3 linked regions of the Anolis sagrei genome follow. The protein of the gene in region 1 interacts with the protein of each later gene in a biochemical or structural test. Links are inferred from orthologs where the notes say so. Each region holds a gene or a part of one and is shown in the gene's direction. Other genes may lie near its edges.

Region 1 (10,018 bases):
AGGCCCGTTTGAAAGGAAGAAAGGAATGCATCCCAGGAATGGAAATGGGAGATTCGTAATTTACCCATTCCCACCAATGAGCTGGATCTTCCCGGATCTTTCGGCTGCTTAGCCAAAAACAGTTTTTTCCATTAGCCGACTTTCAGGAAGTTCCCGAAAACAGATCTGGGAACCCAACAAAATTTGGATACCAAAACGGATCGCCCTCCAACCAAATTACATAAGCCTACTGGTGAGCATACTGTTAGAAGATCACACTTGAGATGGACGGACTCAATCTGCAACTACACAGTAGAATTACTGTAGTTCCATGTTATGGAATCACAGGAGTTGTAATCTGGGGAGACACCTGCACTCTTTGCAAGAGATGGTGAAAAACCTTGTTCCACTGCTTTGAGTCATGGCAGTTAAAATAATCTCAAATGGCAGTCATTCTACGGTATAGATGCTCCCTCAATCAACCCTGAGTCTACAAGACCCAAACAGCATTGTTGATGACAGGGAGGCTTGGAGGTCTCACATTTGTAGTGTTACTATAAGTCAACGTTGACTTGATGCTAATTGACAACATAACTACTTTGCTATGTCTTGTATCTGAACAGATATTAATCCAGAATTCTTTTTCAACTCTCTTTTCTGCCTTTAGGCAAACTATGTTTTTAATTAGATTGGTGGGAACGTTCCCAAGTGCAATATTCTGCTCATAATACTCCCAGAGGTGGATCAGGGGTTGATTTCCGGTGACTCTTCCACCCTCTGCATCTCCCGGTACTTTTAAGAAGTTAAAGGTCTAGGAAAAGACATTTGGGGGAAAGAGCTGAAGGCAGAAACTCACAGTCTGCAACAGAAACAGAGATAAGGAAAATCTGGTTTTGGAAGACGCTCCAAAGTGACTTGATGAAAGGAGAAAAGATTGGCAGATGCCAACTATTAAGCATCTTTGCAAACAACGCATACCAGTATGTTGACATGATGAAATAAATCACAGGCAGCTTAGCATGGTTGCAAACATAATGCAGGGAGCGAATGGATAATTTGTTGGAGCAATCTCACCCTATGGGCTTGTTAGCTCATTTTCGTAATGAAACTCTGAATATTAAGGTTGGTTGCATAATGCATTGGACTTACCCTATTTCTTTGAAGATGTTATTTTAAAAGGGCAACACTCCCCTGTATATACATTACAATATATAGGTTGTATAATACATTAGGATGCAGCAAACACTTCTATAAAGGACATGGGAGCCCCGTGAACACACAGCTAGTTGTAAAAACGCAGCTGATGGTTTGAACTGGAAAACTTCTGCTTAAATGTGATTTAACCAAATGACTTCAAGCCAGTAACTCTCAGCTTTAGTTGCTATCATTGTATACAGCTCCAGTGTAGTGGATTGGATGTGTGATTATGACTCTGGAGACCAGGGTTCAAAGCCTCATTCAGTCATGGACATCCAATAGATGACTTTGGGTGTATCACATTCTCTCAGCTTCAGTGGGAGGAAAAGGCAAACCACCTCTGAACAAATCTTGGCAAGAAAACCTTATGATACATTGACTGTAGGGTTACCATAGATCAGAAATGACCTAAAGGCATACAATACTAGCCAACCTAGGCCCTTTCTACACTGTTATATAATCCAGGTTAACAAAGCAAATAGTCAACATTATCTGTTTTGAACTAGATTATGAGTCTACACTCATAATCCAGTTCAAAGCAGATAATTTGGATTCTATATGGCAGTGTAGGTGAGGCAATGTGGATTTTATATGACACTGTAGTTGGTACTTTTGACTCCCAATTGGTCTTGCTTCAACCTTTCTATTTACGGTCCTATGCAACCTGGGGGGGTGGGGGCTGAGTCTGAGTGAAAGAGGGTCTACCCTAGCAAACCTTTTGTATCGTTACCCCAATACCCCCGTGCATATGGGATAGATTGAGCATGGTGATCAGATCATGATATGAATAAACACAACAGTTTAAATAATGTACCAGTAATTTATTTATTTAAAACTTGTAAACCCCAGTCTTCTCAACCTCCACAGAGGGACTCAGGCCAGCTAACAGCAGAAAATCAATACACAAATACAACTAAAAACATACTAACATCACAATAAGTTAAATACAAACAAAATAAATACATAATGCCAAATCGCCAAGATAAAATCATGTTCATCTCAATCCGCCAGTGTGGTCAGTAGTTATTAGGTTATTGCTGAACTCCGCAATCGTTCTGAGAATGCTATGTCCCAGAGCCAGGATTTCACTAGCTTTCTGAAGATCAGGAGGGAAGGGGCAGATCTAATCTCCATTGGGAGAGAGTTCCACAGCCAAGGGGCCACCACCGAGAAGGCCCTTTCTCTCGTCCCCACCAGACGCGATTGCGAGTGTGGTGTGACCGAGAGCAGGGCCCCTCCAGAAGATCTTAGCAACCTTGATGGTGCATAGGGGAGAATCTGTTCAGACAGGTAAACTGGGCCAGAACCGTTTATTTATTTATTTATTTGGAGTGCTTCTACCCCGCCCTTCTCAACCCCCTAGGGGGGACTCAGGGCGGCTTACCAAAGGCACAATTCGATGCCTAACAATTCACAAAATACAATATACAATTTAACATCAACAGTTATTACTAGTTAAAACAATCAAATCAATACAATAACAGCAATAAAATCATTTTGTGGTCAATGTTTGCCGATTTATAAATCCATAATCCATCCAGCATTGTCATTGTCCTTTCCTACTCTGGTCGTCATTGTCTTTTGTCCATCTGCCAGCTTACCCGAAGGCCTGGTCCCAAATCCAGGTTTTTAACTTCCTCCTGAAGGAGAGGAGGGATGTTGATTACCTAATTTCCCCGGGGAGTGAATTCCACAGGCGAGGGGCCACCACCGAGAAGGCCCTGTCCCTCGTCCCCACCAGTCTCACTTGTGATAAAAGTGGGGCCGAGAGCAGGACCCCCCCGGAAGATCTTAAACTCCGAGGTGGGACGTAGAGGGATATATGTTCAGACAGGTACGCTGGGATTAGTATAGAATTAATAAGGCCTTCTCGCGGACCACCATGAGAATTTGGGGGGGGGGGGAGCTGAAGCCCCTCAAGCCCCTCCCTCCGCTACATGTCTGGTGGTGGGGTATCAATAAAGTTTAATAATAATAATAATAGCAGCAAAACTGCATTAATTCCAGTGTTAAGATCAGGCATGGGCAAACTTGGGCCATCCCTCCAGGTGTTTTGGACTTCAACTCCCACCGGCTGTTTGGAATTGTGGGAGTTGAAGTCCAAAACACCTGGAGGGATGGCCCAAGTTTGCCCATGCCTGGCTGTTAGGAATTGTGGGAGTTGAAGTCCAAAACACCTGGAGGGATGGCCCAAGTTTGCCCATGCCTGGCTGTTAGGAATTGTGGGAGTTGAAGTCCAAAACACCTGGAGGGATGGCCCAAGTTTGCCCATGCCTGGCTGTTAGGAATTGTGGGAGTTGAAGTCCAAAACACCTGGAGGGATGGCCCAAGTTTGCCCATGCCTGGCTGTTAGGAATTGTGGGAGTTGAAGTCCAAAACACCTGGAGGGATGGCCCAAGTTTGCCCATGCCTGGCTGTTAGGAATTGTGGGAATTGAAGTCCAAAACACCTGGAGGGATGCCCCAAGTTTGCCCATGCCTGGCTGTTAGGAATTGGGGGAGTTGAAGTCCAAAACACCTGGAGGGATGGCCCAAGTTTGCCCATGCCTGGCTGTTAGGAATTGGGGGAGTTGAAGTCCAAAACACCTGGAGGGATGGCCCAAGTTTGCCCATGCCTGGCTGTTAGGAATTGTGGGAGTTGAAGTCCAAAACACCTGGAGGGGTGGCCCAAGTTTGCCCATGCCTGGCTGTTAGGAATTGTGGGAGTTGAAGTCCAAAACACCTGGAGGGATGGCCCAAGTTTGCCCATGCCTGGCTGTTAGGAATTGTGGGAGTTGAAGTCCAAAACACCTGGAGGGATGGCCCAAGTTTGCCCATGCCTGGCTGTTAGGAATTGTGGGAGTTGAAGTCCAAAACACCTGGAGGGATGGCCCAAGTTTGCCCATGCCTGGCTGTTAGGAATTGTGGGAGTTGAAGTCCAAAACACCTGGAGGGATGGCCCAAGTTTGCCCATGCCTGGCTGTTAGGAATTGGGGGAGTTGAAGTCCAAAACACCTGGAGGGATGGCCCAAGTTTGCCCATGCCTGGCTGTTAGGAATTGGGGGAGTTGAAGTCCAAAACACCTGGAGGGATGCCCCAAGTTTGCCCATGCCTGGCTGTTAGGAATTGTGGGAGTTGAAGTCCAAAACACCTGGAGGGATGGCCCAAGTTTGCCCATGCCTGGCTGTTAGGAATTGGGGGAGTTGAAGTCCAAAACACCTGGAGGGATGGCCCAAGTTTGCCCATGCCTGGCTGTTAGGAATTGGGGGAGTTGAAGTCCAAAACACCTGGAGGGATGGCCCAAGTTTGCCCATGCCTGGCTGTTAGGAATTGTGGGAGTTGAAGTCCAAAACACCTGGAGGGATGCCCCAAGTTTGCCCATGCCTGGCTGTTAGGAATTGTGGGAGTTGAAGTCCAAAACACCTGGAGGGATGGCCCAAGTTTGCCCATGCCTGGCTGTTAGGAATTGTGGGAGTTGAAGTCCAAAACACCTGGAGGGATGGCCCAAGTTTGCCCATGCCTGGCTGTTAGGAATTGTGGGAGTTGAAGTCCAAAACACCTGGAGGGATGCCCCAAGTTTGCCCATGCCTGGCTGTTAGGAATTGTGGGAGTTGAAGTCCAAAACACCTGGAGGGATGGCCCAAGTTTGCCCATGCCTGGCTGTTAGGAATTGGGGGAGTTGAAGTCCAAAACACCTGGAGGGATGGCCCAAGTTTGCCCATGCCTGGCTGTTAGGAATTGGGGGAGTTGAAGTCCAAAACACCTGGAGGGATGGCCCAAGTTTGCCCATGCCTGGCTGTTAGGAATTGTGGGAGTTGAAGTCCAAAACACCTGGAGGGATGGCCCAAGTTTGCCCATGCCTGGCTGTTAGGAATTGTGGGAGTTGAAGTCCAAAACACCTGGAGGGATGGCCCAAGTTTGCCCATGCCTGGCTGTTAGGAATTGTGGGAGTTGAAGTCCAAAACACCTGGAGGGATGGCCCAAGTTTGCCCATGCCTGGCTGTTAGGAATTGTGGGAGTTGAAGTCCAAAACACCTGGAGGGATGGCCCAAGTTTGCCCATGCCTGGCGGTTAGGAATTGTGGGAGTTGAAGTCCAAAACACCTGGAGGGATGGCCCAAGTTTGCCCATGCCTGGCGGTTAGGAATTGTGGGAGTTGAAGTCCAAAACACCTGGAGGGATGGCCCAAGTTTGCCCATGCCTGGCTGTTAGGAATTGTGGGAGTTGAAGTCCAAAACACCTGGAGGGATGGCCCAAGTTTGCCCATGCCTGGCGGTTAGGAATTGTGGGAGTTGAAGTCCAAAACACCTGGAGGGATGGCCCAAGTTTGCCCATGCCTGGCGGTTAGGAATTGTGGGAGTTGAAGTCCAAAACACCTGGAGGGATGGCCCAAGTTTGCCCATGCCTGGCTGTTAGGAATTGTGGGAGTTGAAGTCCAAAACACCTGGAGGGATGGCCCAAGTTTGCCCATGCCTGGCTGTTAGGAATTGTGGGAGTTGAAGTCCAAAACACCTGGAGGGATGGCCCAAGTTTGCCCATGCCTGGCATGGATACATCTTATATACAATGCTTGAGATTTTTACAAAAAGCAATCTTGAGATGTGAATCAGGCCCTCAAGCCAATTAACATCCTAGGGTTGAAGAAGGCGCCTTCTCACGGAGATGGGGGAAAAAAAACCCAAAGGGGAGGCAAAACAAAATCTCCTCCTGCCCTTCCCACGCACTTTCCCTCCAGGCCGCCGATCTGGCAAACATGGAACTCTTCGCAACATGGCGGTGCGGGAGGGGCGCGGAAAACAAAAAAAACTGGGAGGAGAGCGTCGTTACGTGCCGCCACTCTAGGCTGGAACTGGAAGGGGAGAGGGAGGAGTTGGAAGGGAAGGAGGCGCGCGAGGAGGGAGGAGGAAAGGGGGCGTGGCCAAAGCGAGAGGCGTCGGCGGCGCTGGCGGCGAAGGGGGCGGGGCTTCGTGGCGCCCACGGGCCGGGCACAGAAAGACTGCCAGTTTCGCCGCGGCTCCCCTTTGTGTCTGGTCTGAAAAGGAATAGGAAAAAAAAAGCAGCTTTGGTAGCGCGCGCGGTGGGGGAGGGAGGGCGCATGCGCGCGCGCGCGCGAGGGGGGCTGCGCGAGACTCCACTATTCGCCTCGAGAAACGGCCAAAAAGGAAGGCGAGCCTGTGAAGAAAGGAGGCGACGGGACTGTGAGGGAGAGAGAAGGAAAGAAAGAAAGAAAGAAAGAAAGGCTCGGCCTGGCGCTGTTGGGACCTGTGTGAGGGAGAGGCCTCTGCTGAGCTGAGCGGAAGAAGGGGAAGAAGAAGAAAAGGAGGCCTTTTTTCCCCCGACTTGCAACTGAAGAGGTCCTTTCTGTGGAGGACCAAAAATGGGCCTTGCTTTCTTTTGGGCTGGTTGAAGCCAAGGACAGGGCAGCTCTGATTTGCTCATTGCCTCCCTCACAGAAGAAGCACAGAGGCGCCTTCCTCTCTTTCTCCTCCTTGTAATACTATGTATATATAGAGAGAATCTATATATCTATATCTACGATACACACTAATATCCTTGTAATATATTTTCCTGTGTGTGGTGGTGGGGGGTGTTCTTCGTGTTTTTCAACCTCCCTTTGAGGGAAGCTGCTTCTCCTGACAGTCTTCAACCATCCTCTTCATTCCCCTCTGGATATGATTCATTGGAAACCAAAGCGGGGCATTGATCCTGTGAAGAAGACGCGTGGGAATTCTTAATCTGGGTTTTCCAGCCTCGCAGGGATGGTCCTGTATCTGGGGAGAGGATCCCCCATACTGGTTTGAGGACCCCCCTCCCGTGAAGCCCTGAAAGATGAAGGCAGATTCGCGTCGTGGAGTCAGAAGAGCTCGGGCGGCTCCTGGCCAGACCTCGCCTTTGCCCTTCCCGGCTGGATTGTAAACCAGGAAGGTTGTCGACTCTCTGGCGGCCGGAAGGGTTCCTCCCAGTTGGCCTTGTTTTCGAGGGAAATCGCGCCCATCAGGCCCCCTTCCCTGGGTCCCTCCAAATATGACTGCCTTGCTGCAGCACCTTTGGCGGGTGCTGCTCTTCGCCAGTGCCACCTTACTCCTCAGCACTGCGGCTGGTAAGTAGCCAGTGGGTGTAACCCGGCAGCATGATCTGCTCATGAATTAAACCGGATTACCCGGGTTTAAAACCCATTTCGTTCCAGGGCCCTCCTGCACAGACATATAACCCAGAACATCAAGGCAGAATAACCCACAAAAATCTGCTTTGAACTGGAATATCTGAGTCCACACTGACATATATCCCAGTTCAGAGCAGATAATGTGGGATTTTATTCAGCTGTGTGGATGTGGCCCCAGTGGAAAAAAAGGAATGGTTGTGTATTTCAATACATTGGTTCAACCGGTTCTAGAGGTAACAGCTAGGCTGCTACAAAAGAAGGGGGTGCGGCTGGCCAATATTCAGATCTGTCCCTTTAAAATGTCTGCATCATTCTCTTGGAAATGGGAATAATTACCAGGTGCTGGTTTCTATTTTGCAGGGTTTGGGTGAACAATTTTTGTTGTTGTATGTTTCTCATTGTAGATATGTCTCAAGGTCTCTTATGATGTGGAATGACAATATAACACAATGAAAAAATATTCAATTTCATGAGTATCAAATCTTTATTCACAACAGTGAGGTTACTAGTTCTTTATGTATGTACCTTGGGAAGTCAGACTTGGCCATGGTGGTCCATGTGCAGGTTACATCTCGTATAGACTACTGCAACGCGCTTTACATGGGGTTGTTTTTGAAGATTGTTCGGAAGCTTCAACTAATCCAAGGCGAGGCAGCCAGATTGCTAACTGGAGCTGCATATATGGAGCACACAACTCCCCTGTTGCACCAGCTTCACTGGCTGCAGGTTTGCTGTCGAGCACAATTCAAAGTGCTGGCTTTGGCATATAAGGCCCTGAATGGCCTCGGCCCACCTTACCTATCCGAACACATTTCCCTCCATGAACCATCACTGAGGTTATGATCTTCTGGGGAGGCCCTGTTCTCAGTTCTGCCACCTTCATCGGCACGACCGGTGGGGATGAGAGACAGGGCCTTCACAGTGGTGGCTCCTGGGCTGTGGAACTCCCTCCCTAGTAGGATTCAATCGGCCCCTTCCCTCCTGTCATTTCGCAAACAAGTGAAATCTCCTCTTTGAGAGCAAGTATTTGACCCAGCATAATTATCTGTGCAATACAGTTGGAATTCATCCTGGCTTGATGAATATGATTATTTGATTATCTGGCTTTGGATGTATGCACGATTGTCGTCTATTCTTTACATATGTTGTTTAATGTTGTTTTAAATTTTTGTTTAATTGCTTTTAATTGTTGTTGTTGTTTGGGCATGGAATAACGCCAATTATGTAAGCTGCCCTGAGTCGCCTTCAGGGTGAGAAAGGTGGGATATAAATGTTGTAAATAAATAAATAAATGATTATTACTCTTTGTATACAATGTTTTAAACACATGCGAGACAATATATGTCATCTGGATTTTAAAGAAAATTATTTGACAAAATCTGCCATGAAATAGTCAGCTGAACATAAATATAAGTTCTGGTGCACAATGCAATATCTGAAATATATTTGCACACTGAGTGATGTTAATCTTGTTGGTTTTGTTCATTACTAGCTTTGTTCTACATCTACATACATGGACAAGGAATGGGAGTATAGTTCATGCTTTGGTACTGTGGAGAAGCCTGATAGTGGCACACTGTAGCTTGGGAGATAGAAATAAAAGAACTCTCTGAAGTGCTGAGACATCATTATGCTTTTAATTATCTTTCCTGCATGCACTTATCCAAATGCTTAGGCTGTAATAATATACATGCTTACTTGAGAGTATGTTCTACTGAAGTCAGTGAAACTTATTGTTGAGTAGGTAGAGTATTCCTCTGTTAGAAACCTAAAACATCTGCCTAACACCATATTACTTTCTTTTAGTTCTCTCTCTCTCTTTTTTTTTTTGAATTTGTAGTGCATTTGTTCAATAGAGAAGCAAATACTGTGGAAAATTACTTTAAATGCATTGAAGAAATAGGCTTAAGGATGTGTTAATTTTTAAAGTAGATCTTCAAGATTTCAGAATCTTTTGTGATTGTTAACAAATGTCACATAGAACAAGTTAATGAGGACTTACTTTTGAAATCTGTGTAGTATCCTTTTAATATTATTTTGCCCAGATACTTACTTACTTAGGCGATCCCTCGTTGGATGAGTAAGATGGTCTTCCATCATGGGTTTCCCTGTGGGTCCGTATGTGGCTGTGGAGCCCTATTCTTGCTCTGCATCTTCTTCCGCAGTGAGGGCATTGGTTTCCAGGTGGAAGGCGGTCCCGGTTGGGGTTGGCTTGACGTGCCTTCCTCCTGGCATGTTTCTCTCTTTCACCCTTCACTCGTGCCTCCTTGAATTCTGCAGCACTGCTGGTCACAGCTGACCTCCAGCTGGAGCGCTCAAGGGCCAGGGCTTCCCAGTTCTCAGTGTCTATGCCAGAGTTTTTAAGGTTGACTTTGAGCCCATCTTTAAATCTCTTTTCCTGTCCACCAACGTTCCATTTTCCGCTCTTAAGTTCAGAGTAGAGCAGCTGCTTTGGGAGACGGTGGTCAGGCATCCGGACAACGTGGCCGGCCCAGCGGAATTGATGTTGGAGGACCATCGCTTCAATGCTGGTGGTCTTTGCTTCTTCCAGCACACTGACGTTTGTCCGCTTGTCTTCCCAAGAGATTTGCAGGATTTTCCAGAGGCAGCGCTGATGGAATCATTCCAGGAGCTGCATGTGACGTCTGTAGACAGTCCACGTTTCACAGGCATATAGCAGGGTTGGGAGGACAATAGCTTTA
Region 2 (10,554 bases), on another chromosome or scaffold:
ACACATTTTTCACAAGTTCGTCAATCTGAAACTTCAAAAGAAGTGTTTTTTTTTGTATCTATATTTGGGAGGGGCAGGGGTGGGGAAGAGAAAATAATCACAATCATGATCATAATACACGTTATTTATATTCCACTTTATCTCCCCGGAGGGACTCAGAGCGGATTACAATATACACATATGAGACAAACATTCTATGCCTTTTACACACTGTGAACAACAACATACAACACAGACAAAGATAAAGGCCTTCCCCTTTTTCCATCTCTGGCATCTGGAGGTGATGCTCAACTCCAGCTATGGGGAGGTGCTCTTGTTCCATTTTTCCATGCCAAGGAGCCTGTTGTCCATAGACATCTCTGATTGTGTTGCCGGCATGTCTGCATATCTGCATGGGGCACCCTTTTACCTTCCCAATGAGGGAGTACCTATTGATCTACTCGCATTGCATACTTTAGAACTGCTAGGTTGGCAGAAGGTAGGGCTGACAGTTGGGAACTCACCCTGACTTGCGGCTTTGAACTGCTGACTTTCCGGTCAGCAGATTTCCTGCAGCTAGCGGTTTAACCCACTGTGCTACCGTGGCCCCTGGGTTTCTTATAGTGACATTTCCTAGAGATGCTATCTATGTTTCATTAAAAATATACAAAGATTTTTAGGCCCAACATCTGGAAACATTTTATATTTCTAGGCTTCTGTGTGCCCTCCACATTGTTGTTCAAGTTGTAAAATTGTCACAAACGAGGTTGGCGGGGACGAGAGACAGGGCCTTCTCAGTGGTGGCCCCCCGCCTGTGGAATTCACTCCTTGGGGAAATTAGATCATTGTCATCCCTCCTCTCTTTCAGAAGGAAATTAAAAACATGGATATGGGACCAGGCCTTTGGATAATCTGGCAGACTGACAATGGACAATGACGACTAAAGCTTTGGAAATGGACTATGATAAGCAGAATGAATTTATTAATTACAGACTTGGCAAAACGATGGCCACCAGGCTGGCATTTTATTGTATTTTTATTGTATTAATGTAATGTTTTAACTGTTATAATTTATTGTTACTATGTATTTTACTGTGTGAATTGTAGGCATCAACGTATGCCAGTTGGAAGCCGCCCTGTGTCCTCCTTCGGGGATTGAGAAGGGCGGGGTAGAAATACCTGAAATAAATAAATAATAAATAATTTTAGACTGGTAAATAGGAAGCATCCCTGTTAAATGAATGTGAAGGCTAATTTTTCTTCTCAGTATATCAACATGTCTTCATTCTACTTCTCTGAGAGCTGCTGCATGAGTTTGTGGATGGAATGTGTGAAATGGAAAAGATCTTCATATTTTGAATATAAAGTCTGGGCACTGGGCCAGGACAGAGATATGGCAGGTGCCAAGTTTTTGTAATCTTGGTGCAATTAGACCAACTGCTGCTTTCTCCAGCAAAAAAAGCACTGAACTTGGATGGAAGGCTATTTTCAGAGAATCTGTCAAAAGGGGTCATAAGGACTCAAGTGGTGATAGTGGAAATTCTCTCTCCCAGTGAGCAGAGGCAGAAGCATTTATTTATTTACTTACTTCATTTATATCCAGTCCTTCTCAACCACACAGGGGACTCAGGGAGGCTTACAACAACCTGTTTATTGAATCTTATGTTTTTATTTCCAAATGTTCTAACTGTCATGTCCCTGCCATCTGTCAGGGATATTTTGACTGTGCCTTTCCTGCATGGCAGGGGTTGGACTAGATTACCCATGTGGTCTCTTCCAACTCTATTATTCTATTATTCTATGTACAGGCATATGTCAGTTCAGGAAACAAGGCTATCAAAATCTGAGAATATGGATGCAGTGGTACCTATGGTATGATATAGTTAAAATTAAAGCTAACTTTACTAATAATTATGTTAGACAAACTGCTCACTGGAGGGAAAGATACTAGAGACAAAGTTGAAGTACTTTGGCCACATCATGAGGAGACAGGAAAGCCTAGAGAAGACAATTATGCTGGGGAAAGTGGAAGGCAAAAGGAAGAGGGGCCGACCAAGGGCAAGATGGATGGATGGCATCCTTGAAGTGACTGGACTGACCTTGAGGGAGCTGGGGATGGTGACGGCCGACAGGGAGCTCTGGCGTGGACTGGTCCATGAAGTCACGAAGAGTCGGAGACGACTGAACGAATGAACAACAACATGTTAGACAAAGTGTTTTTAGCATTCAAAGTTTCAGAAGTGCTCAGGAGTGCATTTGCACAACTAAAACCAGAGGCGGCCCTAGATAATTTTCAACGGTAAGCAAACAGTATTTTGCCCCCCCCCCCCCAAAACCAATCACTGATATATATTTTCTGTTCGTGGTGGGAGTTATGTGTGCCATATTTGGTTCAATTCCATCATTGGTGGAGTTCAGAATGCTCTTTGATTGTAGGTGAACTATACATCCCAGTAACTACAACTTGCATATGTCAAGGCTTTTTTCCCCCCTCAAGAGCGCCTCATGAGCGCCCCTGGGCAAAATCAACTATACTGCAAATGCTTACTTTGCGTAATGGGTTGAGCCGCCCCTGGCTAAAACTAATGTGCCAGTGATGCCTACTCCTTAAGACATCAGAGCTGGCTACAGTGACACGTGCCTGGATTGTATTCTCTTTGGAGCAATATAATGTGCTCCACATGGGTTGTCTTTGAAAACTGTTCAGAAACTTCAGCAGGTCCAAAGTATTGCTGCCAGAATGATGGCTGTGGTCAGTTATACGGAGCATATAATTCCCTTGTTAAAACAGTTGCACTGGTCATCAGTTCATTTCTGGGCCCAATTCATAGTGTTGATCAAGACCTATAAAATCCTCTGTGGCTTAGATCAAGACTAGTGAAAAAAATATGTCTCCTCACACAAGTCTACTATGGTTCTGACGAAGGTTTGCGCTCAGTCTCCCAACATTGCACACTCGCTTGGTGAGGACAAAATAGTCTTCTCAGTGGCTGCTGCCATCTTCTGCAGGAAGCTAGGTTTGCCCTTTCATTGTTTTTCTTTTCCCAGCAGGCAAAGGCCTTTTCGTTTAAGCAGATTTGAAATATATAAGCCAGGAAGTTTTTTTTTAGTAAGAGCTTTTATTTGTCTTTTTAAACTTTGTATGTTTTTTTACATTATTTTATTGTTTTATGTAGTGATTTAAATAGTTTTAAAATTTATTCTGGGAGAAGACATACAAAGGCATACAAATGAAGCTGATACACACATACAAACAGGCATCCATAATAATGTTGTTTGTTATATAGAGCTAAAAAAGATCTCCAAAGTAAGGGTGGCTTGTATCATATGAAATCAGGAAGATTCATAGATACATAAACCTCACTTGCCTAGTTTCCAACAGACCTCACAAACTCTGAGGATGCCTACCATAGATAATAATAATAATAATAATAATAATAATAATAATAATACTTTATTTATACCCCGCCACCATCTCCCCAAGGGACTTGGAGTGGCTTACATGAGGCCAAGCCCAACAACACATCAGTAAAAATAACAAGCAATAAGCAAATAAACAATACAATTAATATAACTCACATATAGACAATAATACAAAAAGATTTAAAAACCTATGGCCGGGCCAGACGTAATAGTTAAAATTTTAAAAATAACTAGCTGTGCCCTGCCACGCGTTGCTGTGGCCTATAGTAAAACTTATCAAAGTTGAGGTAGATATCTGGACTATTATGAAAGAGAGGTCCCTACCTATTCCTTCCCCCTTTTCCTCCCCCTTTCTCTCCTTTCTTCCTTCTCTACCTCTTTCTTTCTTTCCTTCTTTCACTACTTGGTTTCATCCTTCTCTCTTTCCTTCATTCCTTCCCCCTTTCTTCCTTTGCCTTTCTTCCCTCCCTGTTTGCTTCCTTCTTTCACTTTTTATTTCCTTTTATTTCACCACCATCATAACAATAACAATAATGCAATGCATTGCCTCCGGGACCTGACACCTCTCCCATCATTCCCCCTAAAAGGGTCTCATAGGAACAATAGCATAATAATAATAATAGAAATAACAACCTTTACCCGCCACGTGTTGCTGTGGCCAATCTTCCCTCCTTCTCTCCTTCTTTCCCTCCCTCCCTCCCTCCCTCCCTCCCTCCCTCCTTCCTTCCTTCCTTCCTTCCTTCCCATCTTTCCTTCTCCTCTTCTTTCTCTATCTCTTTCCTTAGTTCCCCCTTTTTCTTTCTCTTCTGCTGTCTCTCTTTTCTTTCCTTCCATCTTTCCTTTTCTTTCCTTTTCTTCTTCCTCTAACTTTCCTTCCTTCCCCCTTTTTGTTTACCTCCCTTTCTCTTTCTTCCTTCTTTCCTTCCTTCCTGTCTTTCCTAGATTTTGACAGGGCGGGAAGGGGCGGGGTGGGGTTTGGAGGTGGCGTGAAGTAAAAGGCGGTAAGATTGGGGCAGGGGAGTGATGGAGCGTGGGGTTGCGTGTGTGTGTGCGGCAGCGGGGGAAGTGATGGAGCGTGGGGTTGTGTGTGTGTGCGGCGGTGGGGGGAGTGATGGAGCGTGGGGTTGCGTGTGTGTGTGTGTGGCGACGGGGGGAGTTGGGTTGCGTGTGTGTATGCGGCGGCGGGGGGAGTGATGGAGCGTGGGGTTGCGTGTGTGTGTGCGGCAGGGTGTGTGTGTGTGCGGGAAGCGGCACGGCGGGGCTTGGAGTGGGAATGGTTTCCGCAGAGGGAACGTTGGCCGGAAGGCCATGTGCGCGCGCCAGGGAACTTGTGGCTGGGCGCCAATGCGCATGCTCAGTTGTTTTGCCGTTTTGTGAGTGTGTTGTTGTGTTGTTTTTCATTTTGAGTAGATATGTTTGTACCTTGTGGGGTGTGTTATGGGCACGGGAATTTTGGTTAAGTTTCGTTGGGGGATTTTTGAGTTTTGTTGTTTTGCTGTTTTGTGAGTGTGTGTTTTTCATTTTGAGTAGATATGTTTGTACCTTGTGGGTTGTGTTATGGGCACGGGGATTTTGGTTAAGTTTCGTTGGGGGATTTTTGAGTTTTGTTGTTTTGCCGTTTTGTGAGTGTGTTGTTGTGTTGTTTTTCATTTTGAGTAGGTATGTTTGTACCTTGTGGGTTGGGTTATGGGCACGGGGATTTTGGTTAAGTTTTATTGGGGGATTTTTGAGTTTTGTTGTTTTGCCGTTTTGTGAGTGTGTTGTTGTGTTGTTTTTCATTTTGAGTAGATATGTTTGTACCTTGTGGGTTGTGTTATGGGCACGGGGATTTTGGTTAAGTTTCGTTGGGGTTTTTTTGAGTTTTGTTGTTTTGCCGTTTTGTGAGTGTGTTGTTGTGTTGTTTTTCATTTTGAGTAGATATGTTTGTACCTTGTGGGTTGTGTTATGGGCATGGGAATTTTGGTTAAGTTTCGTTGGGGGGTTTTTGAGTTTTGTTTCCTCGTTGGATGCCCCTAACAAATTTATATATATAGATGTGGGAAAATTTTCAGGAGAGAATGCTTCTGGAACATGGCCATAGAGCCATGTTCCAGAAGCAACCCAATCAGCAACCCGATCAGCAACCTGATTGGGTTGCAACTCATAGCAACCCGATCAGACTCCCCTCCCCCCCCACAAACAACAGCAAGTCACTTGACTGAGAAATGAAAATATTTAAACGTTTATTTAACAATAATGGGATTATTTCTTGCCACAATAAAGCTCCTACATATGTGACTTTTTGAATGGTATGTCAAGATATTTTAGAACAGGTATTATTTCTTTCTTTTTATCTTAATTCTGTATGCTGTGGGAAACAAGAGGAAACTTCGTCCTAATGCCTTCCCCCAGACATCTTAAAATGAATATTGTTTGCTGGCAAGAAAATGATAAAGGAACATAATTAGGCAATGGTGACCGCAAAGAGGAACATGGATTCTTTTCTGGGTGCTATGTGCTTCTACCGACCATATGTACTTGTCTTATGTTTACAGAATATTCATTAGTGAAGAGCGCGGATAGATAAGAGACTGTGGTCAAGATAAGGGCAAGTGTATGGCCAATCTGCTTGATGATTCACAAGGGGCTAGCACTGGAAAAAACACGGCTGCAATGCAGCTTGAGAAAGTGGTCAGCCATTGGCATTCTGTGTTTGCATTTCAGACTTCAGTCAGCCTGCTCCCCTGGATCCTTACTGTATTATACCCTCGTTTAAAACAGGATTCATGAAAAATGTATTATTTCGGGGCCTTCACTCTTCTAAACATCATGATACCTTTGACAAGTGGGAAACCCATGGAAGCCCGGGACAGATTACTTACAACCCCAAACTCCCATGAATATTCTGGTGACATTGGGAGCGTGGAGGGAGAAGCCCAATTTGACTTTAAATCGTTTCTGGAGACTTTGAAAGCTGATTTCCTGAGGAACTTGAACTTGTCAGAAGTACCTTCAGAAGAGAAGATGAAAGAGGAACCACCACAATTCATGATTGATTTGTATAATAGATATAGCAAGGACAAGTCTACCAGCCCCATATCCAATATTGTGCGCAGCTTCAGTCCTGAAGGTAGGAGTTTTGGCTTTCCCCCACCCTCAACCCAAACATCTAGGCTAAGATCTTCCCCAGGCATCTTAGTGCCTTGTGTTCCCAGGAAATCTTAATTGTTTTTTTTAAATGCTCTACTAACAATTTTGTGTCATCTGTTTTCTTATATTATTTGTGAAATAGCCATTTAAAAAATCTTAAGGAGTTGGATGCATGAAACTAAGGAAAATAATATTTTTGACCTTATTTCTCCTCCAGCTCATTTAGATAGAAAGAAATTAATAGAAAAGAAAAAAAATCTGTGTAAAAACCATTTTCTCAGACTGGAACAATCTCCACATATTAGGAAAATGTCTAGTCCATATTAAATGACATAAAAGGAATCAATGTAATTTTCAGATGTTACAAAGGGAAATGTGAGAAAAGTTCTGCCTCAGTGGCCATAGAATAGAATAGGAATGAAGGCCAACCTTTCTGAGCTTTATGGCAGATAACAATGATCCCACCTCCAAACCAAAGAGTTATACTTTCAGCAGTGACCAAATTGAGATGCATCAAAAAGTTCATAATTAGTACAACTTATCAAGAAAGTACTCTTAGCTATTGGTAATTCTCTTTTGCAAACCACAGGAGGCAACTAGAAATATTTTCATTGCTTCACCTATGTGAATAGGAATACTTAAAAAAAAAACTCCAAGGGAATTCCACTTGAACATTAGGAAAAACTTCCTGATTGTGAGAGCTGTTCAGCAGTGGAACTCTCTGCCCCAGAGTGTGGTGGAGGCTCCTCCTTTGGAGGCTTTTAAACAGAGGCTGGATGGCCATCTGTCAGGGGTGCTTTGAATATGATTTTCCTGCTTCTTGGCAGGGGGTTGCTCTGGATGGCCCACGAGGTCTCTTCCATGATTCTATGAATATACCTTAATAATATCAGTATTAATCACAATCTAGGAAGAAGTGGAATAAATCAAAATTAGATGGCAGAACAATCAAAATATTATGGATTTAGCAATATTATGGATTTAGCAAGTATGCCTGCTGACAGAGAAAGGCCAGGAAGTCTTGAGGAAGGCAAGCAGGGACAGAGCTATCTTGGTCTCTCTTGGGAGGGGGTTCCACAGTATAAAAGCAGCCACCGAAAAGGCCCTCTCCTGTGTTCCCACCAAACACACTTGAGCAGGTGATGGTACAGAGAGAAGGTTGTCGCGTGTTGATTGTAGATGCCTCAGAGGTTCATAGAAAGAGATACAGTCCTTCAGATAACCTAAGACATATAAGGCTTTATAGGTCAAAACCTGCAATTTGAATGTATTAGCAGCCATAAGACCTGTTGTAACAGTGGAGTTGTACACTGCCTGTAGACAGTCCCAGTTAGCAGTCTCCCTCAGATAGCAGCGTTTAAAGCCCTCCTGGTCAGGTTTGTGTATTTCTTCACAAAAATCTTCCTGCTAATCTCTCTGAGGCACAAGCCATTCCTTGACAGAAGCTCAATGCAAGTAAACCATAGACCATGGACTCAGAAGCCAAACAGTTCCATCATCTGAGGATAAGGTTATTCACGTCTATTATCCTTTCCCTTCCTGGGTTGTTTCCTTAAAGTGGGAGGAAGATGAACTGGGATTCAAGGCCCATCCAACTTACTTCCTATGGCCTCATAATCCCATGTGATCTCTCAAAGGCTATTTCTTGTAGTGTCATTGGTTCCCACATGAACCAAAAGGAAGGAGTAATGGTCTGTAGGCTTTACAAGCCTTATCATCCTTTTGGTTACATCTTGGATTTTTTATCTAGGAAGACAGCACACTCTTGGGTCATCCTGTCACATCTGCAAACCACTGTTTCTGGTCCGCTATCACCATCACACATCTTTTGGCAGGGGTCATTGCATGTGCTGACTCTTCCAGGGGCATCCTGAGGAAATTGGTTGCTTCCACTATATTGGGTATTGCTGCAAGTAATGACAGTGTGAATAAATTGTCGAAATTTGCTTGAGATAGTGCTTGCAGTTCTGGAGGAACTCATTTAATTGTTGACAATGAAAGGGGGTTGCATTTTACATAAGCACAATATATCCCATCAGTGAGACTTGGGTACTCCAGGCTTGCATACATTACCCGTTTAGCCCACTTCCTGTCCCAAGGACTGAGATTAATTAAGTCTTTTTATATAGATTTGCAGTTCCAGATATACTTTAAGGGTTGATTTCATTTGATATAAGTCATACAATTTCATAAAAGTTGATTTCATACACAAGAGGAGATATAGCTGCCTGGACTTTTCCAGAGTTGAGGTGGAGAGGCATTTTGGAATTGCAAAATTGGTAAAATAAAAAATAAAATAAATTCATGTTTAATTCATCTCTGTTCATTTGTGTTTAATAAATTTCTCAATAACATTGTGACTTCCTTGGTGAAGTCTACTCATCTGAGAGACTATCTCTTTTTGTACTGCCCTCCCCTTTATCAAGCATTATTGTCTCTTCTTGTGGATCATGTCTTCTCAAAATATTTTATTTTAACCTGCTTCCTCCCAGGTTTTAAGTAAGTGTAGAAGGGCCCTAAGTCTCACTTTGGGATTTTTATTGTGCTTCAGCAGAGGTGGGTGTCTACAATGCATCCTACATTTTGCAGAACTATATTGCCCTGGATCCTGGATACATAAGGATCAGTTTCAGCATATTTTTTTGACTGAACACAAATTTCACTGGGACTTTTAAAGTGCTGTATCGCCTTTACAAATTGTAGCACACATTGCTATTTTAAGGTCATCGCAGCCTCAAGTTAGCTTCAAACCACATTATATGTTCAGTGCAAAGCACCCTAAGTTCTACCACTCTCATAGGTATCGTTGGTGAGGCCATAACAAAAAGCTTTCTCATACTATGGAAAGCTTCTAGCCTGGGTTCAACTCTGCTCTCCTACTGGCAGATAAACACCTTATGTGAAGAGTCTTGTGGGAGTACTGTTGATGGTGTTTTAATTCTTCTTTTGATGTTAATATGGCAATCGCTTTTTCCGGTGGAATAACCTATTGGTTATTACATTTATTCCCTTTGGTTTCTATTTACTTTATTATCTTCTATTTTCTATTGCTGTTCTAACTTACCATGGATCATAATCCCAGAGAAAAGTGGATAAAAAACAAATGAAACTAAATAATATTTAAATTAAAACAGCAAGCTATTGATCAAGGCACTGAAGATTCAAGACTAACATATACTTCCTGAGAAATTTCACATTATGGCAAGTAGTCATGATAATAGTGTTTATCGGTTTTCTTCTCCAGATATTACTTCTCTTTCTCCTCTGGAAATGAATCCATTTCAGAAATACATTTTGCTGTTCAATGTCTCCATCCCATGGCATGAAGATGTCACCAGAGCCGAATTCAGAATCCACACTGACTGTCAAAAGGGCACAAAGAGTTTGGTGAACTTTAAAGGAAATATAGCTGTGTATGATGTCCTTGAAGGAAACAACTGGGAGGAACCAAATAATGTCAAATCCGTCCTAGTCTCCAAAGAAATCCAAGAATGTGGTTGGACGATGTTTGATGTGTCTAGCACTGTGAAAAGATGGACTAAGGCAGACAAAACAATGAGTACTAATCAGCTGGAGATTGATATAGAGAGCGATGTTCAAAGTGATCTTACCTGTGGGAATGTACATACCGGTGTAACACCGAACTCTAACCATTTACCCTTGCTGGTTGTGTTTTCTAATGATCCCAATAACAGAATCAAAGAGAACTATATGGAACTTCAAGAAATGATTGTGCATGAACAGGAAAGCATGCTTAAGAATTTGGTAAAGAACAACACTGCCCATAAAGAGAACGCTTTACCTGTTAATGGAATCCATCATCTTCTGTCCAGAGGGAAACGAAGTGCCGAACATAATCACTGCAGGAGAACCTCTCTCCGAGTAAATTTCAAAGAAATTGGCTGGAATTGGATCATTGCTCCTCAAGATTATGATGCGTTTGAATGCAAAGGAGGTTGCTTCTTTCCTCTGACGGATAATGTCACACCAACCAAGCATGCTATTGTCCAGACCTTGGTGCAC
Region 3 (10,141 bases), on another chromosome or scaffold:
GCCTTCCTCTCCCATCTCTAAAATTACCCCTGAAAGATTCAACATAGATTTCAACATGAAACCCCAAGGTCTCATGCATGAAGCAGAGTTGTACAGTAGAGTTTCACTTATCCACCATAAACGGGCCGGCAGAACATTGGATAAGCAAAAATGTTGGATAATAAGCAGGGATTAAGGAAAAGCCTATGAAACATCAAATTATGTTATGATTTTACAAATTAAACACCAAAACATAATGTTTTACAACAAATCAACAGAAAAAGCAATTCAATACATGGTAATGTTATATAGTAATTACTGTATTTACGAATTTAGCACCAAAATATTGGAATGTATTGAAACAGCTGTGGATCCAGGCGGGAGGCAAACTGCGTTGGATAATACAGAACATTGGTTGGATAAGCGAGAGTCTACTGTACTTATTTTTCCTCTATTGCTCTCAAGCTTATTGTCACATCACTTCCCTCCTTCTGTCACCTCTGCTTCTGTCACATTTTGTGGTGCTCACCATGTTGCTTAATTGTAGATATACTCTAATTCCTTATATGTGTTCACATCCGTGAAGTAAAGAGGGAGAAAGAGAGAGATAAAGATACACTTATTTCCATATTCCAAGACTATATCCAGCCCTTTAGACTATCATAATTCTAAAGGGCTGGATATAGTCTTGTCTCTGGGGGAATTCATGGTTTGGGGGCATCGGTGTGAGCTTTGCTCAGAGCGTTCTTTGTCAAACTGCAGAAACTCCCTTCGCTTTAATTTCTGTAAAATTGCTCAGTCCTTAAATTGCTGTGTCAGCACAAAAAGCTATATAGCTCATTAGTGGTTTGAGAACTGCAGGCTCTGTTTGTACAATGGAAATCATGCTGGTCGGTCATGCTGTTGAAGTACTGTTAGTAAGAAAATTAGTGCTTGATGTATATTCTTTTAAACATTTCAGCTTCTGATCATGGTCAACATCAATTCCTTGCAAGGGACAAATATCTAAGCCTTAAAATTTAAGGGGAAAAATCTCACACACAAATATATATATTTTAAAATGTCTTATTTCTAAACAAGAATATTTTCTGAAATATTCTTATTTTTTTATCTTTGTGTATGCATGCAAAGGGTTGTGATGGTGCAGTGGGTTAAACTACTAATCTGCAGAACTTGCTGACTGGAAGGTCAGCAGTTCAAATCCTTGAGATGGAGTGAGCTCCTGTTATTAGCCCCAGCTCCGGCAGTTTGAAAACATGCAAATATGAATAGATCAATAGGTACTACTTCGGCAGAAAGCTAATGGCGCTCCATTTCAAAGTCATGTCAGCCACATGACCTACGGGCAATGCCAGCTCTTCAGCTTAGAAAAGGAGACAAGCACCACCCCTCAGAGTGGGACCCAACTAGACTTAATATCAAGGGAAACCTTTACCTTTACCTATGCATGAGAGAGAGAGTGTGTCCTATGTTATTTATATATTTGTTGCACTTTAAAACCACCATTAGCTAAAGTTCTCTAAGCTCTGTACAGTGTGTTGAAATACAGAATACAACAATATAATATGGAATGGAACACACCTGAAACAAATTCAGATATGCAGATATAGCTGAACAAAGTTACTATTACAGGACTAAGGAACTAAAAGTTAAATACCTAGCAATAGTTGGTGCATCCAATAACATATTTACCTACAGTTATTGTTATTTATTCACACCCCTAACAAAGTCTGGGAGAAATTTTAGTATATTGATAGACCCATTTCTGGAATATGAAACCTGAACAGAAAGAAAAACACAAGAGAGCCGTTGAAAGTAACAAAATATTTTTTAAAAAAAATATATATACAATTAGGCAAAGCATTAACACATTTTGGAGCTTGCTTCTGTATGTGAAGTCACCTGTGAGCACAGTGAAGGTTTTTTTGCACAGCAATTTCCCAAGATCCCATCTTGGAAGGATTAGAAGTATCCAGAACTACAGGAGAAGCAATTGTCATCCCCCGCCACAAATCATCACTTTTATTCTGATATTAGAAATGGAAATACCAAGAAAACGGTGGAAGAATATTTCAACGTTGTTGGTCATTCCATCCCAGACCTCCAAGGTACAGTTCATTAACAGAACACTTTTAATGGAGATGGAAAAGAAAAAAAGCTGAACGGGTATATATTCACAAATCCCAGTCCATTAATGGAGATATGAAGGCAAACAATTTTTATTGGCTAATGGCATATATTTAAATATGACTTTAATCACTGTTACATTTGTAACGATAGGATTCTCCCCATGCCAGCTTATTGATGGAGCCCCCGGTGGCACAGTGGGTTAAACCCTTGTGCTAGCAGAACTGCTAACTGATAGGTCAGCGGTTCAAATCTGGGGAGGGTGGGTTGAGCTCCCTCTGTCAGCTCCAGCTCCCCATGCGGGGACATGAGAGAAGCTTCCCACAAGGATGGTAAAACATCAAACATCCAGGCATCCCCTAGGCAACGTCTTTGCAGACAGTCAATTATCTCACACCAGAAGCAACTTGCAGTTTCTCAAGTCGCTCCTGACACACAAAAAAGAAGCTTATTGATGGCATTTTACTGTTTCTGTGCCAATGTACTAGCCAAATATTTTTCTACACTATGCATATATTTACCTGCTTATCTATGCTTATATACATGTGCATGTCTGTATGTTCACAGTTTACATTACTAATTTGCATTCTAATTTTCAAATAATGATAATGATGATATCATGCATGACCCTTCTCAATCACTGGATCTTTTCGCCATAATTATTTTTATTGATAGCAAAAAGGTACAATCACAAAAAGTAATTGAGACTGACTGCCATCTGATTCACAGGAGGAAATGAAAAGGAAGGTAAGAAAAAAACAAAGCAGTTGCAGGAGGAAAAAGCAGGGTGAGTTTTCCTTCAGAAATGCAGAATTTTTTTTTGTAACTACTAGAATAGAATAGAATTTAACTTTCCTTTTCCTGTTCCCTGTTTCCTCACAATATATGAACTAATCAGTTTATTTGTGGTAAGAATTCCATGCCATCACCCAGCTATTCGTGATTAATTACCAGTTGATGTTTGTACTTTTAATATTTCAGTTTCCTCTCACCTCACTTAATGACCTGCTCCCATCCAACAATGTGTGTAATCATCTGTCAGCTGAGACAACACTTCATGAATCTGTTGAAATGGGCTGCAGTTTACAAAGCTTTATGGCAAATAAAACTTATTAAAGCTTGCAAGTAGACACTACTGTTTTGCTCCAACAGAGTAACACTGTTACACTCAGAAAGTATTTGGTTTCATTAAAAAGAATCAAACAAAATATTAATCTGGTATGACAAATAGGGTTGCCAAATCTCAGCATCTGATCCTAAGCCTCAAATTTTCATTGGTTATTTCCAAGCAAGACACGAGGGTACAAATTCTGCAGTTTTGGTGAACTCAGCACCAGACTATCTTAAATAGTAGAATTGCAGTTTCCTAGAATTTGCAAGGGTTGTACTGTTGATGCATCTTGCAAACATTCTTCGTGGGGTGGGGGGTGTCTATGTATTTAGTTAGTTCCCACCATCCCTCCTGGCATCAAGATTTAGCCTCCATTCTGCATCCATCTTTTGGCTTAAATATTTCTTATGCTCCTTATCCTAACCACCTAATTTCACATTGATTTAATTACAACCCCTTTAGCAAAGTTTTTTTCCCTATATTTCTAAACAGCATAATATAGTGTGTGAGTAATTATCATGGGTACCTAATGCATAATGCTTGACACCACCAAAGACCATTCCTAGGTCCCAGATTTTGGCCTATGGACTTGTGTTTCTGAGATAGTTCTGAAATGGTGATCCTAGTGGCCAGCCTACCTCCACTGACTACATTAAATAAATGTAGAGTTAGTCCTTCCACATTTGAATCTGTTCCTCCAAAATCTCAGGTCAAAATAATCTGACTCAGTAAGCTTCGATCTGTTTACCCATCCATCCATCCTCACCTCTGGCCTTTTCTCAGCTTCTGCTTTCCTCTGAGTTGCGTTACAGCATGCAAGAAATCAGTTAATGTGTGTGTTAATGGTAAAATAAGATGTATGAAGCTGATTGGTCGGGCTGTGCCTGGGGAACAAGCTAAGCCTGGGATTTTTGGTCACTGTTACATTTTTCAGGCTTGAGCTATGCAGGTGCTCTGAGAGACGCAGAGAGAAGAAGAGAGAAGCAGAGAGAGACAGCATTTAGAGTGTGTTCTTGCTTTATGAGCTGCTAAAGGAGTTTCTCCACATGGACAAAGAAAGACTATTTTAAATCTCTCATAAAAGCACATTATGTGAACTGATGTAACTGATCACATGACTGTACATATGTTGTTATGAACTACAAAGAGTAAACTACTTGTTCTTTATTGTTCATATTTTCTTTATCTGGCAAGGCAGTGTGTGGACTGATTAAATGTGAACTACATGTGGTTTATTTTACATTATGCCACAAGTTTCTCTCATAAGCTGGCTATCAAAGGAAGAGAGTACCAGGAGTGATAAATTACACCACTATGCTCTTCCTGGGAACCTGAGCTACTATTATCTTGCTTTTCTCCCTTTCAGTGCACCTACCTTGTCCCATTCATTTCTCTGGCCCTTGCCTATTGCTGCTGCCATTCCTTCCTTATCCACTCCTTACGCTCTGCACTGCACCATCCACCTTCCCTTTCCTCTTTGTGCTACCACATCAACTTCCTTTACACCTTGTGTCACCTTCTCCTCTCTGTCTTGCTCATTACCTTCCTTCCCTCCTTCTTCTCTTTAAGGCATTTCTATCCCTTCTTTATGTGGTCCATCCCATTATTCAGTAGTCGAAAACTGGAAAGAGTGATAAGCCTTTAAACCAAATATCACATTTGTATCCAAGTTATTTAAGATAATAGGATTTAGCTCCAGAATATGGTATTGAGATCCCTTAATGCTTCCAGTGTATAGAAGGTCCATGTTCCTGGAACAAATGTTGCTGCCTAACAATGAATGTCTATGGACTTCCAAAGTCAACCAGGGAACATATTAATATAACAGAATATACAATATATTCCCTGGAAATGTATCAGATTATTTTTTTTCTTGTTTCAGTGTGTCATAATGTTTTAAAATGCTTAGCAGGGATGACTACATTTTGTTAATACTCTTGTTCACTTCTGTGCTGTCATCACCAACCCAAAGAATGAAATTGCTGCTGAGAAAATACTGGGTTCTATGTTCAGAGCTTTATAAAAACAGCTGTGAATTAGATATTATTCACAGAGATCAATATTGTTATTTAGACATGATCTTGCTAAAAGCGTGTACTGTTTTATCTTATGTGACTCTGTCTTGTTTCAAATGAGAAGTTCATTTAAGGCTAAAATAGGCAACATGTTGCCACTTTAAATTGCATATTCTATAGATTTTTTGGTCCTACAGAGTTATTTTACATGAAGCAGGGTATGACTCATGCTAATGGAAAGGGCAAAGAAGACTTTTTAAAAGAAATATATCACACTTAAATTAGTTTAGACAGCATGACATCAGAGAGTAATTAAATAGGTTTTTGTTGGAATTCCGCTTCCAATTCCTGAGTTCAGGTTTGTAAAAGATTTCTGAGCACCTGCAGGTTTCTGTGTGTGAAATATTTTCACTGGAAGGGATTCAAAACTTTTTTAAAAACCTTTTAACACAGAGGCAGCATTACGCCATTCTTCCTTCTTGGAAAAAAAAACCCTCTCCGATTTAAACAAGAGTCCTTCAAGTTTTTAGTCACTTTTACAGAAGAAAGGGGGGTAGTAAACTTTCTCTTTTCAAGAACAGGCTGCTAGCAGAAACCAGGAGAAGACGGAACGGAGTAAATGAGCATCTCCACTATGGGACTGGATACAAAGATTGGACAAGTAGATTTAAAGTGTTTTAAGCTGAAAATAAAGCTTTTCCTGCTGACTTTGGTTTTCAATTTCTTTCATGTTTTCTTATGCCAAACTAGAAGAGGAATCTTTTCTGAATTTTTCTTTGGAGGCATTCAAAGGAAGACCAGAGGATGAAAATCTTGCACTTTCTTACTTTACTGCTTTGGCACTTTTGTTGGTTTCATCTCGTTCTCATCTCCTTAGTGTTGAGTCCTGCTGAAGCAAGTCAAGGGAATCCAGGAGCCAAATTAGCTGTATCAAAAGTAGATGGAAAAGAGAGGAACCCTTTGCCAAGGGCAGGTACCTTTAGAACGGGAAGCCATGGATATAGCACTGGGAATTCCAAGCCAAGGACAAAAACCAACACTGCTCAAGCTGGAACTCTCGTGGCAAAAACTGATGACTCAAAGAAGGCTCTCCCTAAAGCAGGGAGCACAGACAAAAAGGTAGGAGGACATCCTCCAAACAGGCAAACTGGAGTGAGAACAGTGACTCCAAAGGTTCAGAACTTTGGCCCCAAAGCCCCACCGAAGAAAACTGGCACAGGGAATTCTGATGCCAGCTCTTATAAAAACAAAAAGCCTAAAGACTCTATTGCCCAAAGAGAATCTAAAGAGTCATTAAGACATCCTGCTATCACACCCCACGAATACATGCTTTCCTTATACAGGACTCTGTCTGATGCGGAAAGAAAAGGTGTGAACGGAAGTGTGAAACTGGAGACCGGACTTGCCAATACAATCACAAGCTTCATAGACAAGGGACAAGGTAAGAAAAGCTAATGTTTGGAGATATATTAATGTGCATTTGTTGAATATGAATGCTTCCTTTTTTTGTATTTATGGAAAGATGTAAAACGTGGCTGATTGCACACATTTTCATGTTTACAATGCAGATTTAAAGAGCATTTTCAGCATCAGAACTGGGATTTTGTAGATGGTTTATGCCGTTACTGTATACTACTAGTAATTTTAAGGCTATTTGGCACAAGGATTTAAAAATAATATATTCTGTGGAATGTGCATCAAAAAAAATATGATGGCGACAGAATGTATCTAGATGCATTATCGCTGGGACTTTAGTCAATATGAAACTTTCAATGGGTTCAACTCTTTAAGTTTGGATCTAAACAATTACTTCTCCAGCAGCAAGACCAGATCAATCAATATCTATTCAAGCTTTAACTATAAAGGCGGACTTAAGAAGAACAAGAATCAGGCCACCTCTAAATCTTTTTTTTTTTTTTGGGGGGGGGGGATCTGTAGAAATGAAATGAAATTAAATATACTTTGGTAAATATACATGTGATTTACTCTTGAATCCACTTTAAACCCAGTTGTTGCCTCCAGCACAATTCTAGGGTTTGTAGTTTAGGGAGGAGCCTTTAACAGCCTCACTAAACTATAAACCCCAGAATTCTGTAAGAGGCAGAAACTGGATTTAAAGTGGATCCATTCTCTAGTGTGATGAAGTAGTGACGATAACACTGGTAGAGGAATTTATGAGACCATTTGTATTTTTTTAGACCTTCACAAAGTCTATGTAACCTATATCAGAGCTTCAAAATTTTAGTTTTTTTCTGAAGTGGAACTCTCAAAATTTCCCAGCTAGTCAATATAATGATAGAGTCTAAGAAAGCACATTTTCCAAGCTCTGGATCAAGTGCTGAGTGCACAGTGCTCCCAGACAAGTGTCACTGGAAGGTGGGCTGCATACAACTTTGATTATGGAAAGTAGCTTTCATCCATCACAGATTCATGCATTCATTTTCACTGTAAAAGTTTTGGAAGTATGTAAACAAAGGCAAGGCTGTATATGAAGTACCATGAAGACTTTGGATGGCAATGCAATATACAGGTCGTGAAGGGGCTGGTTGTCAAGATTTAAAATATGGTAAGGCAAATATCTTTTTAGGTGATGGTACAGCTTAGATGCTTTATTTTCAAACTTTAAACATGCTTGACTGATGTGTGACTTTCTATTTTATTTTGTTTTCAGTCTGCCAGGGTTGTCTCCATTCATTTATCATAATGCATTACTAGTAAAGAAAGCCACAAACTCTCATTAACAGCCTAGTACAATAATTTTACATATATTTGAGTATAAGTTAACTTTCACTGATTAACCTTAATGTGGTGGAGGAAATGGCTCCTGACGATGAAGCAGAAATATTTCCATGTCTGAACTTGAATATTCTAGTAAACTTCTAATTCCTAACAGAGCTAATGTGTCATTTCAAATTACAGTAAAGTCTCACTTATCCAACATAAACAGGCCAGCAGAACATTGGATAAGTGAAAATGTTGGACAATAAGTGATTAAGGAAAAGTGTATTAAAACGTCAAATTACGTTATGATTTTACAAATTAAGAACCAAAACATCATGTTTTACAACAAATCGACAGAAAAATCAGTACAATGCACGGTAATGTTAGGTAGTAATTCTTGTATTATGAATTTAGCACCAAAACATTATAATGTATTGTAATAGCTGTGGATGCAGGTGGGAGGCAGACTGCATTGGATAATACAGAACGTTGGATGAGCAAAGGTTGGATAAGCGAGACTCTACTGTAACTGTAGACATTGTATGTTGTTTCAAAAAGCTGAAAACAAAAAGCAAATTTCTGTCTGAGATACATGAATGTCTTCCTTCTTTTCTCTTTAGATGACCGAGCTCCCACTGTAAAAAAGCAGAAATATATGTTTGATATCAGTGCCTTAGAAAAAGACGGCTTACTAGGAGCAGAACTTCGTATTTTGAGGAAAAAACCTTCAGATACCTGGAAGCCTCATCCTCATGGGAAAACATGCCAAGTGAAACTTTTCAGTTGCTCCACAAACCGGCAAGCGTCCATCCTCTTGGACTCTCGAACTGTCAATATCTTAGATACTGCAAAATGGGAAGTTTTTGACATTTGGAAACTTTTTAGGAATTTTAAAAACTCTGCTAACTTGTGTTTTGAACTGGAAGCTTTTGAAAGGGGGAGGCCTGTTGATTTAAGGACTGTGGGGTTTAATAGAACAGGGAGGCAAGTCAATGAAAAGGCTCTGTTTTTAGTGTTTGGTAGGACAAAGAAAAGAGACTTGTTCTTCAATGAAATCAAAGCCAGATCTGGCCAGGATGACAAAACTGTTTATGAATACCTATTCAATCAAAGAAGAAAGAGAAGGGCTCCTCTAGCAACTCGACAAGGAAAGAGGCCCAACAAGAATCTGAAGGCAAGATGTAGCAAAAAAGCACTGCATGTAAATTTTAAAGATATGGGATGGGATGACTGGATAATAGCACCTCTTGAGTATGAAGCTTATCATTGTGAAGGACTCTGTGAATTCCCTCTTCGGTCTCATCTGGAACCGACCAATCATGCTGTTATCCAAACATTAATGAACTCTATGGATCCAGAGTCAACGCCTCCAACTTGCTGCGTGCCAACAAGGCTGAGTCCCATTAGCATCCTGTTTATTGACTCTGCCAATAATGTGGTCTACAAACAATATGAAGACATGGTAGTGGAGTCATGTGGCTGTAGGTAGCAGCACAGCCTTTCACGTGGCTCTCTGGACAAAGCTTTTCCCAGCGGCTGATTTTAATATATGAACTTTGAACACTTCAATTCTATGGACCAGCACTGTATTATTACCCAAAGGGGGTTGCACTGACAATAGCTATAGTTGTATTTCAATGCTGGCTAGTTATGCATGTCTACTTTCTATGCAGCCTCTCAGCTGCAACCTCTGCAAGGAAACCACCAAACCTTGGACATGGATGATTGCCCAATGCTTTGGGCTCTGTAGTGGTGGAAATGCCCCTATGCATAGTGATATTATAATCGGTCACATCCTCAATTATTCTTCCACTGGGCACCTTGTCAATCCATTTCTGTGCCACTGAACAGCTGTGACACATCTGGAGATGTTTGTGATTGCCAGCATAAGAGCTCTAAAATATCTTGGCACAATCATGCCATATAAATTCATGTGGCAAAGCCATAGGTTATGCCATTGCACGAGTGTAGCAAGATTGTGCTTGTAACTAGTGAACTAGCTGATAGGCTCAGGCTATATGTTTTTGATAAAAACTGGAATTCATTCACAGAAGAAGCAGAATAACATTTCACTTATTGTATGTCTTTATTCTGGACACATTGTAGCACTAATTTGCTACTACTAGACCTAGTGGTGGCCTAAGATATTTTGGTGAGTGAAACAGGGCAAGATAAGGTGTTATTCCCA

The links.
Region 2: the proteins of BMPR2 (region 1) and GDF2 form a complex in vitro, tested with the Homo sapiens proteins (2 studies listed by BioGRID). The link is inferred for Anolis sagrei from reciprocal best matches to the Homo sapiens genes BMPR2 and GDF2.
Region 3: the proteins of BMPR2 (region 1) and GDF5 form a complex in vitro, tested with the Homo sapiens proteins (2 studies listed by BioGRID and IntAct, with this or other methods). The link is inferred for Anolis sagrei from reciprocal best matches to the Homo sapiens genes BMPR2 and GDF5.

The regions. Positions count from the first base shown.
Region 1 is NC_090021.1:165,345,760-165,355,777, forward strand, and holds the start of BMPR2 (bone morphogenetic protein receptor type-2), read left to right. Parts: upstream 1-6,103; 5' UTR 6,104-7,177; coding exon 7,178-7,253; intron 7,254-10,018. UniProt on the Homo sapiens protein: On ligand binding, forms a receptor complex consisting of two type II and two type I transmembrane serine/threonine kinases.
Region 2 is NC_090023.1:142,235,676-142,246,229, reverse strand, and holds the start of GDF2 (growth/differentiation factor 2), read left to right. Parts: upstream 1-6,020; 5' UTR 6,021-6,174; coding exon 6,175-6,511; intron 6,512-9,775; coding exon 9,776-10,554. UniProt on the Homo sapiens protein: Potent circulating inhibitor of angiogenesis. Signals through the type I activin receptor ACVRL1 but not other Alks. Signaling through SMAD1 in endothelial cells requires TGF-beta coreceptor endoglin/ENG.
Region 3 is NC_090024.1:206,779,034-206,789,174, reverse strand, and holds the start of GDF5 (growth/differentiation factor 5), read left to right. Parts: upstream 1-5,607; 5' UTR 5,608-6,036; coding exon 6,037-6,673; intron 6,674-8,573; coding exon 8,574-9,442; 3' UTR 9,443-10,141. UniProt on the Homo sapiens protein: Growth factor involved in bone and cartilage formation. During cartilage development regulates differentiation of chondrogenic tissue through two pathways.